2 linked regions of the Cricetulus griseus genome follow. The protein of the gene in region 1 purifies or fractionates together with the protein of each later gene. This does not show direct contact. Links are inferred from orthologs where the notes say so. Each region holds a gene or a part of one and is shown in the gene's direction. Other genes may lie near its edges.

Region 1 (7,068 bases):
TTGTAACTTTCTTCATATGGTATTATCTAAGATACAACTTTAAGAGGCTACAGAGATGGCTCAACAGTTATGAGCACCGGCTACTCTTTCAGAGGACCTGGGTTCAAGTCCCAGCAACCACATACATGGCAGCTCACAACCTACTATAATTACAGTTCCCAGGGGATCTGATGCCCTTTTCTGGCTTCCATGAACACTGCGCACGGTGTACAAACATACATGCATGCAAAACACCCACACACTAAAACTAAATAAGTCTTTAAAAAATAAAAAATAAGACGGAACATTAAGCAGTTTTCTTCTGTGCCCAGCATTGTCTCCTTTGCTTTTGAGGATGGGTCTCTCGTTCATACTGGAGATTTGTGCACACATCTAGTGCTTAGCTACTCTGTTCATATGGAGTCCATCACTAAAAGGCTGATGAGAAGTCATTACATGAAAGTGAGCCAAGGGGCTGGAGGGATGGCTCAGAGTTTAAGAGCACTGCTTCTCCACCACTGACCCAGAACTGAGGAAGGCTTCTCTAACCAGCTGTTTAGGGACCCTTAGCCCTGTCATCTAGCTTTTAGGGTTTTGTTGTTAGCCTGTGTTCATGTCCTCTCCTGTTTGCAAGCTCCTCTCTCTCCCTCTCCCTCTCCCTCTCCCTCTCCCTCTCTCTCCCTCTCTCTCCTTCTCCCTCTCCCTCTTCCTCTCCCTCTCCCTCCTCCTCTCTCCAGGTGTAACCCTGACTGTCCTGGAACAGAGGACATCTGCCTCTGCCTCTGCCTCTGCCTCTGCCTCTGCCTCTGCCTCCCGAGTGCTGAGATTAAAGGAGTGTGCCACCAACACCCTGCCTCTTCTGCTTTCTTTACCCTGGCCATTTGTACCTTTTACATCCTCTTATTTCCATTTTATTGGGCTCTGGTAGTCAGTCCTTTATGTTGCCCAACTGTGTGTTGATGACAGGATCTCATGAAGCCCAAACTGGCCTTGCACTTGCTATATAGTTGAGTTTGGCCATGAACTCTCATTTTCTTCTACCTCTAAGTGCTGGGATTACAGGCAATATGCCACCATGGTCATTTCCAAAGAGTTTTATTAACTGAAAAAAAAAAAAAAAAGCAAGGCACAGAAGAGGTTGTATCGTGTTCCTCTTTGTGTAAAAAACAAGAAAAGGAAAGCAGAACATGTGTCTGTAGTGTGTAGATAAAACATGCTATTTGGGCTGGAGAGATGGCTCAGAGGTTAAGAGCACTGACTGCTCTTCCAGAGGTCCTGAGTTCAATTCCCGGCAACCACATGGTGGCTCACAACCACCTTGAATGAGATCTGGTGCCCTCCTCTGGCCTGCAGGACACATGCAGGCAGGAGACTGTATACTTAATAAATAAAATTTTTAAGAAACAAACAAACAAACAAACAAAAAAACCATGCTTGTTATAGTTAGGCAAGGAGAAAGTCCTAGTTTTGTTTCCTGTTGTTTTTATAAAAATATCCTTTCAGAAATCATTTGGTGGAGGGTGGTGGTGGTTTGTTTTAGCTCAGAAGTCTAGGTTACATCATAGACAGAAGTAAGTAAAGGCAACAGGAACTTGCTAGTCAAGAGCAGAAAGAAATGGATGCATGTGTGCCCACTAGTGCTCAGCCCACTCTCCCACTCTTACTCTGCTAGTGCTCAGCCCACTCCCCCACCCTTACACTGCTCAGGACCCAACCCAGGATCCAGTGCTGCCCTCAGTGGGCTGGGCTTTCCCACATCAGTGAACACAGTCAAGACACTCTCCCACAGACACGCCCACAGGCCAGCCTTCTAGACAGTCCTTCATTGAAGCTCTCCCCAGGTGACTCCAGATTGTGTCAAGATGACAATTAAAACTAGTTATCATACATATTTTGTTGTTGCTTTTCTTTTTCTTGAGACAGAGGCACACTGTGTAGCCATGGCTGACCTGAAAGTCACAGAGATCCACCAGTATCTGTTTCCCAAGTGCTGGGTCTAACAGCATGTGTGGCTTCAGACCTTTTTTTTTTTTTTTAATGTATTTTCTTCCAGTGTTCTGGAAATTCAATAATATAGCACATTGTTATTTTCTAGTATTTCCTATAAGAAGTGAGGCATTTTCATAACCAGATCTGTAACACTATTTAAACACTGGATAGTAGTTTGTTGTCAGATGTGCCATAATTTATAGAAGAGCCCCTCCTCCCCCACATTTGAACTTCTAAGTTGGCCTGACACTCTGCTCTTAAAAAAGGAATGTAGCCAACATTCTTACAGTGTGCTCCTTGGACACACTATTGCTTATTGTGTAAAGTCAGTTCCTAGAAATGGCCCTGCCTGGCTGATCCATAGATTCTGCATGGGCCGGGGAGACGGCAGTAGATAAGGCCCTTGCTGTGCAAACATGAGGACCAGAGGTCAGATCCTCAGCACCGTGTAAACTCTGGGCAGTCATGGCAGCTGCCTGTAATCCCAGCTCTTGGCTGACAGAAACCGGACATTCCCTGGGCAATGTGAGACACCAATTCCCTGGGCAATGTGAGACCAGCCAGACTGGTCAGAATTGGTGAGCTCCAGGCTCACCCAGAATCCACCTCAATAAATAAAATAGAGATCCATCAAAGAAGATGCTAAAGCCAACTTCAGGCCTGCACACGAGCCTGCACACACGTGCATGCTCACCCAGGAATGTGTATGTACACCTGCCATGCACACGCACATATGCACACATGTATGCACACCACACGTACATATATATGCTCATGCTTTCTGATTAGAAAACACACTATTAATAGGTAGTATAACCCCAAATAACATTTATCACAATAAATGGATATTTTCTTTTACTTTTTAGATTTTTGAAACTGTCTTATGTAGCTCTCGATGGTCTGGAACTAGCTCATGTAGAGCAGGCTGGCCCCCAATTCAGAGATCTGCCTGCCTCTGCCTCCCAGGTACGGGGACTAAAGATGTGTGCTATTACACCATCTTAGATATTTTAAATATATAGAAAATCCTAAAATTTAAAAATAAAGTTTATTTTTGAGCATTTACAAGCTGGGAACAGTCTTATACTTAAGGTTTTATTGTTTGTATGTTTGTTTGAGACAGGATCTCCTCTGTAGCCAGGCAATCCTCTCGCCTCAGCCTTCTAACTCCTGAAATTACAGGCATGAGCCATCACACCCGGCTATTTCAGTTACTGGAGAAGCTGAGGTGAAAGGATCACTTGAGCCCACCTGGGCAACACAGTAACACATAGCTCAATTTTTTTTTAAGTGTGTGTGTGTGTGTGTGTGTGTGTGTGTGTGTGTGTGTGTGTGTGTGTTAGGAATTTTAAGCCAGGCAGCCTGGTAGTGTGGGTTTGTATTCCAACTACTCCAGAGCCTAAAACAAGAGCATCCCCAAAGCAGTTCCTGCCAGGGCTACAGAGTGAGTATAAGGCCAGCCTGGGCAACTTAGGGAGACCTATGTCACAAAACAAAGAGTGGGCTGAGGTCTGGCTCAGTAGTAGAGTGCTTGCTTGTCTGGCATGTACAACACTCTGGGTTTGCGCTCCAGTACCACCAAAACAAATAATAATAATAAAAAACAAAAACAAAACATCTCCCCCAAAATCTGAGGCATGGTGTCTCACATCTGCATCCCAGCACTTGAAGGGTGGAGGTAACACAAGACAGGGGCATCAGAAAGCTCAAGGATAGCCTGGGCTACATGAAGTCCCATCTCAAACAGAAACAGAAAAGAAAGAAATAAGAGAAATATATAGAAATAAGAGAGGTGGGATGTGGCTCAGTAGTATAGCACTTGACCCGCATCTGTGAAGTCCTGAGTTTGGTCTCCAGAGCTAGAGTTAAAAAGAAGAAACTAGACAAAAATAAAACACACTCACTAATAGACCTGGTACTCACAGATAACCAAAGCCAGCAATTATTTTTCGATTTTACTTTAACTTGATGATTCTGGTATGTATAGGGACTTTGAGACTTTCCCCCAGTGAGTACTAACCTGTGCTACTATCTCTCTTACATAAGTGGACAGCTTCTAAATCTCCAAGTCTTTTGGTTTTGTTTTCTAGGGAAAGGAATCTGCAAACATGAATACGTCAGGGTCTGGGGAGATAGTTCAGCCCCCAAAGTGCTTCCTGCACGGCATGAGGCTCTGAATCCAACCCCCAATAGCCATGTGAAAAGGCAGGCATTGTGGCACATGCCTGTCATCCCAGCACTGGGGAGGCAGATTTAGGGGATCACCAGAATTGATTGGCCAATACATCCTAGCCAAAAATATGAGCCCCAGGTTCTAGTGAGAGACTCTCAAAAAGCAAAGTAGATAGCTATCCTGAGGAGCGACACCCAAAGCTGACTTCTGGCCTCCACATGCACGCACACACACATGTATACATGCATACAAGTTAATAAATCAGCATACTTGTATCCATGAGAGTAATGGCTTCTGCTTTAATCAGAGCAAACTTATTCTCTGTACCCAGGATATGGGGAGGACACTTGTCCCCATCTACACACTTGCCATGTCTTCCTTTTCCCACTCTCGTAGGTGCCAGAACTGGGAAGGCGGCATTGGTGGAGTGCCAGGGATGGAAGCCCATGGTGGCTACACCTTCTGTGGCTTGGCTGCGCTGGTAATCCTCAAGAAGGAACGCTCTTTGAAACTGAAGAACTTGCTAGTGAGTAGCTGTTGCACCATCCTCTCCCCAAGCCCTGGTCTGGTGATGGCATTCTGGGACCATGGGAGGTCTGTGATGGGAAGGGCTGCAGAGCTCTAGCCTTAGCGCAGACTCCTAGTCCCAGTAGGAAGCTTCCAGTGCAGTTGTCGTGCTCAGCACCGTTGTAAGTCAGTTGAAAGAGCAGACAACTGTTCTCATTGACTCCCCTCTCCTACCTCTCCGTCTGGCTGCTTTGAAGTTTCTGCACAGACTGAGTGGTCTTGAGTCCTCTGGCCACCTGGAATGAGCCCCCAAACCCAAGAAAAATAGCTACGGTCCCTTAGGATTCAGTATTATCATGTGTCTTAGAATCTTCTAAGAGAAGAAGCTGTAAGAAGAGCTTTGAAGTATTTTAGGGCCAAAGATTTATTACCTGTGAAAACTTCCCATTACCAGTGAAAATTCCGTATCTGCATTCCAGCAAGTTCTCCAGCCAGAGCAGGAGAATTGTTATCAGGAGGTCTGGACATGTCTTCTAGACCCTAAGCTCTTGGCCAGTGTTCAGAAATCAGTCAGCTTAAGAGAAGCCTAGAACACACAGAGAGTGTATTCCCTTTGTCTTTTAGGGAGCATGTGCTCCCCTGGCCATCATCAAAGCAAACCAGCTACAACTGACATTCAGCTCTCTGTGAGTGCAGATGCCAGGCCCTCATTGTTGAGCCATTGTGAGCCCTCTAGAGAGTTGCTTTTATATTTTGTGGTGTGACAAGCAGCATTTTGCCCTCATTGTGTAAGAGAGAAAGCCTCTCACATGGCATACTCTATGAAGGTTCTGGAAAATTGATATCGAATGACCCACTTGTAGAGACATTTTAAAGTCTGATCACTACCAAGAGATGAAATGTAAAGTCCCAAGTTGTAGGCAAAAATAAAGAATATAATAGTGCTTGCCTAAGTTACAATGACAATAGTGTAGGTTTGAACCCCTCCTCATCTTCTCAGCCAAGACACCCTGGACCAGTTGTCTAATCTGCTTTAGCTGCACTGTCTCTTTTCCTTCCGGAAGGTAGGGCTAATAATCAGTATTCTCTGAGGATTAGAGAAGAGAGCATACATAAGCAGCCTTGTAGAGGGGAGGTGCTCCATACATGTCAGCCCTCTCTTTCCCAGGGACCCCCTTCCCTCCCTTTGCTGTAAATAACCAACACCTGAGTCAGTGGTGGTGGTGGTGGTGATGGTGGTGGCGGTGGTGGTGCAAGCTTTTAGTGCCAACACCAGGGAGGCAGAGATAGATAGAGCTCTGAGTTCAAGGCCAGCCTAGTCTACAGAGTGAGTTCCAGGACACTCGGGACTACACAGAGAAACCCTGTCTCAAAAAAACAAGAGGGGGAGGGGACCAACATCTCTATCTGAGGGCCTTTGACATCCTATAGGCAAGGAATGTGGAACCAACCCATGGCTTTAGACACTGGAACAAAAACAGTTAGGCTGGTTTGAATCCACTCACATTGTGGGGTCCCCCAGTCTCCCACCCCTGCTTTCCTTTTGAATGCTTAGCCTACTGCCATTAAATGGCAATCCCTGAAGCATAGTTTCATTTAAGACTGACTAGGGAGGTGTTACTACCTAAACCCACAAGATTTTGTCCCTTTAGGAATCTGAGACTGACTTTTGCGCTGCCATGACCAGGGATGTAATCTAAACTCCATTATAGTTACGGGCGGTCCAGGTTTCCCTCTAGAGAGTTCCTTGGGTCTACGCTCAGGAACTTGCTCTAGGAGGGCTCCAGATGTTGGGCATAGCACACTGTTCCCTTTCAGTCCAGTGCTGCAGCTCTGAGACCTGGGGCTGGGAGGGAAGAGTGTTGTATCTGCTCAGCCAGTTGGTTCTGCTCATCCCTCCAGGGCTATCTTGATGTTGTGTGTTCAGGAAATGTGATAAGCCAGGAGTGGTGATGTCCTGTGTGGCCTCTGGGTGACAGTATATAGCTTCAGAATAAGGTTTTCCTTACATCACCTAACCAGGTTCCCCAGGCTAGACCAGGGAGTTATCCTTGGCCTCCAACTTCAGTCCTGTTCTGGAGTGAATGCCGTCAGGTACCAGGTAAAGGCAGGACTAGCTTGATGTCATCTGGTGAGGTTAGATCAACACTTCCCTTCTCTGCTTTGAACACACTCCCCTGAGCAGCGATAAGAAGAGACAGGTAGGTGGCCCTCCCTGAGTTTCTGCCCCAAGCTGTGTTTAAGAGACTTTTGCAGACCTCCCATACAAATGTGGCCTCTTCGATCAGCATCCGCCTCCATTTGGACCTGAGGAAAGGTGGCTGCCGGGCTTGTGGGAACAAGAGAGGGGAATGGGATATATGTGACATGAATGCAGAAGGATGATTATTTGGGGAGGGGAAGAGAACCAGACTGGGGAG
Region 2 (7,068 bases), on another chromosome or scaffold:
ATGCTTGTACAAGAAAGTCGGGTCCTGCTAGAAATTGCACTGATGGTACATTTTGAACCTTGTCACATTTCTGCATCTACAGACAAGGTCATGTGATCCCCCTTCCCCTGTTGTAGGGTAAATTTGTTAATTGACTTTGGAATATTTGCCCTAATGCACACTTGGTCCTGGCATCCATGTCCTCTGGTGTGGCACTGAGTTAAACTTGCTAGTCTCGTCAGAGTATTCTGAAGTGTCCTAATGTAGCTTGTGACTGCTTCTCCAACTCACAATTATCTTGTTACACAATTTCAAGTTATTTGAGAATTTTCTTGACATCTTAACTCATCTCTCAATAAATAGCACTGTGGTTTCAAAATGTGTTTTTACTCATTTAAAATTTATAGTCTGGTTTTATAGCCTAGTATGTAATCTATCTTGATGATTCTTGTGTACTTGTTAAAAATTGTATTTTGTTGTGGTGGTCTGAAGATGTGTGTGTGTGTGTGCGTGTGTGCGTGTGTGCGTGTGTGCGTGTGTGCGTGTGTGCGTGTGTGCGTGTGTGCGTGTGTGCGTGTGTGCGTGTGTGCGTGTGTGTGTGCGTGTGTGTGTGCGTGTGTGCGTGTGTGCGTGTGTGTGTGTGTGTGTGCGTGTGTGCGTGTGTGCGTGTGTGCGTGTGTGCGTGTGTGCGTGTGTGCGTGTGTGCGTGTGTGTGTGTGTGTGTGTGTGTGTGTGTTTCTGTCAATGCAGAGAGGCATTTTGATCCCTGGTAGCATATTAGTTGCTTTTCCTGCCACTAATAAATACCTGGCGGGAAGCAACGTGGGGAGGAAGGCTTTCCTTCACGTCACTGTCTGAGAGAATGCAGTCCTCACTGCCTGTGGGGACATGGGTCTAGAGTTGTAGATTAGCCTGCCCCACGCCTTCAGAAAGATGGTCTGGCCGCTCTTGATTGCAGTGCCTGTGAAGAGGGTTGACGTTGGCTCTTAGCACTGTGTATCTGTGATGTGGTTCCCTTCTCTTTGGGGTGATTAAAACACTGTCTTTGAGCTTGATTTTTGTGTATGTACATTTGTTTGTATTCTCCTGGTGTGTGTTGACATCCTTGCATTTGTGGGCTCATCTCTTTTGGAGGTGCTCGGGTGTTACCAGATAGTCACTTTGCTCAGTCTTTCTCTAGCTCTTCAGTTGCATAGATGGCCGTCAGCTTAGTGCACCTGTCCTTGTTTCTTATAAAATCAGTTTCCTCTTCTGAGACTCTGTCCAGTCACATGTGCTGTCTGCATTTTTAACTATACACCTTCCATTCATTATTTAAAATACCTGCCTGCCAGTTTCACTGCCTGGGTCATTTACTGGTATAGATTGGTTGATAACCCATTTTCCCCACTAAATTATGGGCTCTGTTGTTGGTGTAATTCTTTAAGAGTCTGTCTCTCTTTTGAGAATGGTTGAGATTTTAAGTGTCGTTTTCCGTGGGAAGCAGCACACATGTCTTGTGCACTGCCAGGCCACTAGAATAGATAGGGCTGGCATTAGCTGAATCTGGAGTTGAGTGTTTGGTGCAGTTTGTGCTTGTTTTTTTTTTTTTTTTTTTTTAACCATGAGGAGGAGGCTCCTTCAGGCATCATGTGCTTGTGGCTGGAGGGGTCTGGAGCTCTGTGTGCTTTGACACCCACCAGCAGCCCAGCTGTTCACCTTCTGGCTGCCCACATGTGCTGTCAGGGTGTGGTCAGAACTAGGCTGGACTGTCCTTGCTCATGTCTGCCTTGCTGGCTCTCTTCCCATTAAAGGGCTCTTCTAACCTGATAGTGGCTGCCTGGGGTTGTGGTTACTGGGAGACACTTCTGACTGTGCTCATGTGTGATTTGTCCTGCTTCTTCACTTTAAGGGACCATCTGAAAAATCCCTACACTGTCACCCAAAGTCCAGTGGTTCTGCTGTGACCTTGGTGTTTTAGAGAGGTGTGGGGTATCCGAGCAGACTAGTGTAGACCAATGTGTTTTCACTCTGAGTGGTGCATACAGCTTTAATGAGCCACCCCACCATTAGGGAGGCAGTGCAGTGTGCTCTCGGGGTGCAGAGGCAACCTGGCATCGTGGTAGACACCCTTAACCCTAGTTCCACTATTGGCAGAGGCAGGCAGGTTTCTGTGAGTTTAAGTCAGCCTAGTCTATGTAGTTAGTTGTAGGCCTGGCAAGTCTACATAGTGAGACCCTGTCTCAGAACAAACAAACAAAACTTAGGTACAGAGTAGAAGAGGTCAGAACCCATACTTCTACAGACACCTTCACAGTGATTGTTTTATACTTGTGGTTTCTGTGCCGCCCCGTGTTTACTTGCTTGTGTGCTTTTTTCACAATCATGTTCCTGGGTGAAGTTGTATGAGCGCTGCTATAGGCTGGCCATCTTCTGTGTGCTTGCTGCTGAGCTACACTGATCTTCATAGCCTTGAGTTGTTTGCAAAGCTGTATTGGATTTCGTAGCCACGTGTGTTGTGTGCAGAAGTAGGGCGTCTAGCCATCTCAGGAATTGTCTTCCTCACAAAGCCTTGTACATGTAAGTGCCTCGGATATGTGGAGTAAATCATGCAAATGTTACATCCCCACAAAACTTAGAGACAGCTTTTGTTTTCTCTAACAGGAGTACAAACCACCAGGAACCCGTAAACTTCATAATATCCTTGGAGTAGAGACAGGAGGGCCCGGCGGACGGCGAGCTGGGGAATCGGGTCATACTGTAGCCGACTACTTGAAGTTCAAAGACCTCATTTTAAGGATGCTTGATTATGACCCCAAAACTCGGATTCAACCTTATTATGCCCTGCAGCACAGTTTTTTCAAGAAGACAGCTGATGAAGGTACAAACACGAGTAACAGCGTGTCTACCAGCCCCGCGATGGAGCAGTCTTCAGGCACCACCTCCAGCACGTCATCCAGCTCAGGTCTGCCGCCCACTCACCTCGGGTCTTGCTTGCACGTGCTTTCTGTTTGCTTGCTAGAGTGGGATTCTTTTAAAGTATTGATAAACTAATTTTTAAATTTTAATTCATAAAGTAAAGCAAGGGATTGTTTTACTTAAGTGTTGTTTGTATGTGTGTGGCCTTAGTCTGGTCACCTGTAAGAACCTCCTTTCTGTATAGTTAGCAAATTCAGTCTGTGATTATGTGTGTGGTAATTGTCTGCCTGACAGTTGGAAACAAAGCTACGTGTTAGCTAAATTTCTAAGTGATTTTAAATGGAGTTATTTTTCAACATCTTGAATTTTTCCTTGACTTAGGCGAACTTGGCTATATTAGTGGCTGATGTGGGGAGATGTCTTCTGAGGCTCAGGAACATGTTGTTTTTCAAGTTAATACCATAGTTTGAAGGTTTTGTGTGTCTTTATATGTGCCATGTGGTACATTTATCTGAGTGTGCATACGCACACCCCTGAGGTCACACATGGAGGCATGACACTGTCTGCCTTACTCCCTAACAACACAAGTCTCACTGTACCAGGCGGCCGCCTGTTTGAGCCAGGCTGGCCAGTGAGTTCTTGGGACTTGTCTCCTTCTGAAGCCCTGGCGTTGTAGTCAGCCTGGCCTTTCACAGGGCACAGCAGCACTGAGTGTCTCCCTCCCTGTGTTAAGAGTTGTAAGGAGCAGAGCTCACACTAAGCTCACAAGTGTTCCCTCTCCTGATACTGAAGGTGGATCCTCGGGCACGAGCAACAGTGGGAGAGCCCGGTCAGACCCAACGCACCAGCACCGGCACAGTGGTGGACACTTCACGGCTGCTGTCCAGGCTATGGACTGTGAGACACACAGTCCCCAGGTGAGCTCTCCCTCCCGGGCTCATGTCATGGCCCACTAGCTTTAGCTGTGGCAGCTGCCAAGGGCTGTTAGGATGTTTGTGTCTGTGATGTCCTCACTGCTGGAGGCGAGAGGACACCCTGGTAACTCTCCTCCTCCTTGGTAGAAATGATGAGAGCATGCACTGGATACACCCCACTGCCCTTTCAGGCATTTCCCCATTTATTCCGTCATTTGCCACAGCAGCTCCTGTGCCCCGTGCAGTTTGACCCCACTTTTTGGTGGTGCCGAGACTGCAGATGCCGCCAGTCTCCCTGAGCTACACAGTCTGGGTCTCTGTCGTCGCCTCTTGTGACTGCACTCCCAGACCTGGTTTCTGAATCAGTCTGTATTTTTGTTTTTAACTTTGTTTTTCTTTTTAAACTTACTGATTTCAGGAGCCTTAGCATTAAAGTGATTTTTTACCTAACTTTAAAATGAGTGTGAAGCAGGTGGTGGTGGTAGAAATGTGAACCCTGCTCACTCTTCGCTGCTGTGACAGAAGTAGCACGGAAGGAAGTCATTCATTCTGTTAGGGCAGGCAGGATGGGCGGGCGGGCGGGAGCAGGAGGTTCCCTGCTCGCAGCGCCTCTCTCTCTCTCTCTCTCTCTCTCTCTCTCTCTCTCTCTCTCTCTCTCTCTCCCTCTCTCTCTCTCTCTCTCTCTCTCTCTCTCTCTCTCTCTCTCTCTCTGCCTGGGGCTGGGCTACAGAGCCTCCTTCTGCAGGGGCTAGTGCCAGCGGGGAACAGTGGGAGGGGTTTCCTGTTCAGACAAGAGCTCATGATGTTATGAGACAGCATGCCTCCACACTGTCTGCCACATTGTGGTTTGTTTTTTTGTTTGTTTGTTTTTGTGGTGAGAGACCAGGCAGTTACTTGGTGGAGTAAGTAAAACCTATGCTAGATTGGTAGTTCCCTTTCTGTGACTGGGCCTCTTGGTTCTGCTGAAGAAACCCTCACATAGTTGTCATCCCTGTTAGCATCCACCAAACTCTATTAGGTAATTACACACTTCTCAGAGTCCCATCTCCCTCTGTTCTCTGTAAAATGCTGCAGAGTTTTCTACTCTCTCTGACTCCCCTGCCTTGGATGGGGTATTCAGACAGTCACTCTCCATGTTGTGCAGTGGTGCCTGTGCACACAGTTGTGTGGGTCCTAGGCAGTTGGACTCAGGGCAGCAGGGTTAGTGGCAAGTGCCTTATCTGCTGAGCCATCTAGCTGGCCAGTTTTTGAACAGTTGATACAGTGGCATGGTAACAAAAAAAAAAAAAAAGAAATAGCACACAGGGTTGTGAAAAGTCCTTTATCATGTCCACTAGTTTAGTACAAACTAACATTAGTAGCTTTTATATCTTTGAAAAGATATTCTTCATGTAAAAGTCAATCTAATTATATGTCATCAGATAATATGTATTAGCCAGGCAGTGTTTTATATGCATATACAATATTCTATACACATCCAAACACCTACTCTAGGTATGGTATGCACTCCAGCCTGTATATAAGCTGTCGTACCGCACATACTTTTACATCTAGGTTTTTATGCATTTGGCATGAATGTGATATCCTTCCTATATCAAAATAAGGGATGCTTTTATCCTGTCTCATGGTGTTATATTATCTAAATATTCATGAATCATTTCATTCATAGCTTATTAGTGGGCATTTTGTCTACTTCCAGTCATTTTTGCTATTTATAATGGCATAATAAAAAAAATCTTTATATGTGTGGCAGGGGTGAGGTAATGGTGTTACCCACCTTTAATCCTAGCACTCAGGAGACAGAGGGAGGTGGATCTCTGTAGACCAGGCTGGGCTTGAACTCATAGATCCACCTGCCTCTTACCCCCCAAGAGCTGGGATTAAAAGTGTTTACCACCACCGCCTGGTTTATAATTTTATAATTAACCATTTGCTAATGAGTCCAGCACATGAGCGTCATGCTAAGCACGTAGCTCTGTCAGACAGCACCCTACTGCAGTCCGTGTTGGGATTTGTTTATTCTGCCAGTGTCATCTTTCTCCTTGCCTAAGGTTATAGGTGTGCATCAGGGGTTGGCCTGTCCCGTGGGTAGCAAGGCCCTTCCATACAGGGTGGACGGCAGTATCAAGTACTCCTTATCTGAGGGTGCTGGGACTCCAAGCACTTCGATTTCAGTTCTTTTAGATTTTGCTGTAGCTGTTCACTTTTTACCAGTTGAATGTCCCTAATCTGAAATTGTTAAATGCTCTCATTTCAAGTGTTTCATACCAGAGTAAGGATGTTCAACCTGCATTTTCTTTTGTGAGATTATCTTCCAGTTTTGTCCTCCCCTACTGGATTTTCAGGACTTTTCATTCCCATGTAACTTTTATTAAATAAGAACTTAACATTTTGTGCTAAACTAGTGGTAGAGACAGCTTTTGCCTTTTCAGAGGTTACATTGACACAAGTAAGCAGCAAAACACAAAAATGGCAAGTGATACTTACAGAAAGGGAAAGTCTAGAGGTGTGCGCCTCTGGGGAGTTACCTTCATGGTGGTGGCAAAGCCCTGGGCAGTGCAGACTCCAGTGCAGGCAGCCAAGGCTCGTGAGGTATAGTGACTAACAGACTAACTGCACACTATCTGAGTAAATCTGAGAGGATGCAAGAGTTTTCCCTCCTTGAGTGTAACAGAGAAGCAGCTGATGCAGTGTCCAGAGCACTGCTGTGTCGCCCCCGTGTGACTCCACGTGCCCTCAGGTCAGCTGCCCAGGCCATGGTGCCCAGCAGACAGACCTAACTGCACTAGATACAGTGAGTGACATCTAAAGTCACGCTCATTTCAGCCACAGTTGTGCTGATGGCTGTGCCCAGCATGAAGGGGGCTGGAGAGTCCGGTACAGTCATGTTGTACATAGAGGGGCACATCAGTAGCCTGGCCACAGAGGGCTGGGGCAGCATGAGTCAGAACATCCGGGAACTCAGGAACTGACATGGCGATTTTAAAAGGGGAATGTAAGCAAAGATTAGAAATAAACGTGCTCTTGATGGGAGAAAGCAGCAAGTGCAGATGCCATGAGTCTCAGGTCAGGTCAGGGTGAGAAGGGTCTGGGGAGATTGGGATCCAAGTCCGTAAAGGAATGAGTTGATTTTTGTTTTGAAAGGATAGTCTTGCTTTTCTCAATGGGTTGAGAAGAACAACTGTGGAAGCGGGGGGGCGGGGGGGGGTGTTAAATTTTTTATTTTGTGAAGAGGCCTTTGCATTAGCCTAGGCTAAGTGGTAGTGGTGATGGCGGT

Evidence for each region.
Region 2: the proteins of Fntb (region 1) and Dyrk1a purify together in Homo sapiens (affinity purification with mass spectrometry; 3 studies listed by BioGRID, counting the BioPlex papers as one). This does not show direct contact. The link is inferred for Cricetulus griseus from reciprocal best matches to the Homo sapiens genes FNTB and DYRK1A.

The regions. Positions count from the first base shown.
Region 1 is NC_048598.1:126,621,652-126,628,719, reverse strand, and holds part of Fntb (protein farnesyltransferase subunit beta), read left to right. Parts: intron 1-4,537; coding exon 4,538-4,667; intron 4,668-7,068. UniProt on the Homo sapiens protein: Essential subunit of the farnesyltransferase complex. Catalyzes the transfer of a farnesyl moiety from farnesyl diphosphate to a cysteine at the fourth position from the C-terminus of several proteins having the C-terminal sequence Cys-aliphatic-aliphatic-X.
Region 2 is NC_048597.1:3,177,076-3,184,143, reverse strand, and holds part of Dyrk1a (dual specificity tyrosine-phosphorylation-regulated kinase 1A), read left to right. Parts: intron 1-2,622; coding exon 2,623-2,923; intron 2,924-3,669; coding exon 3,670-3,794; intron 3,795-7,068. UniProt on the Homo sapiens protein: Dual-specificity kinase which possesses both serine/threonine and tyrosine kinase activities. Exhibits a substrate preference for proline at position P+1 and arginine at position P-3.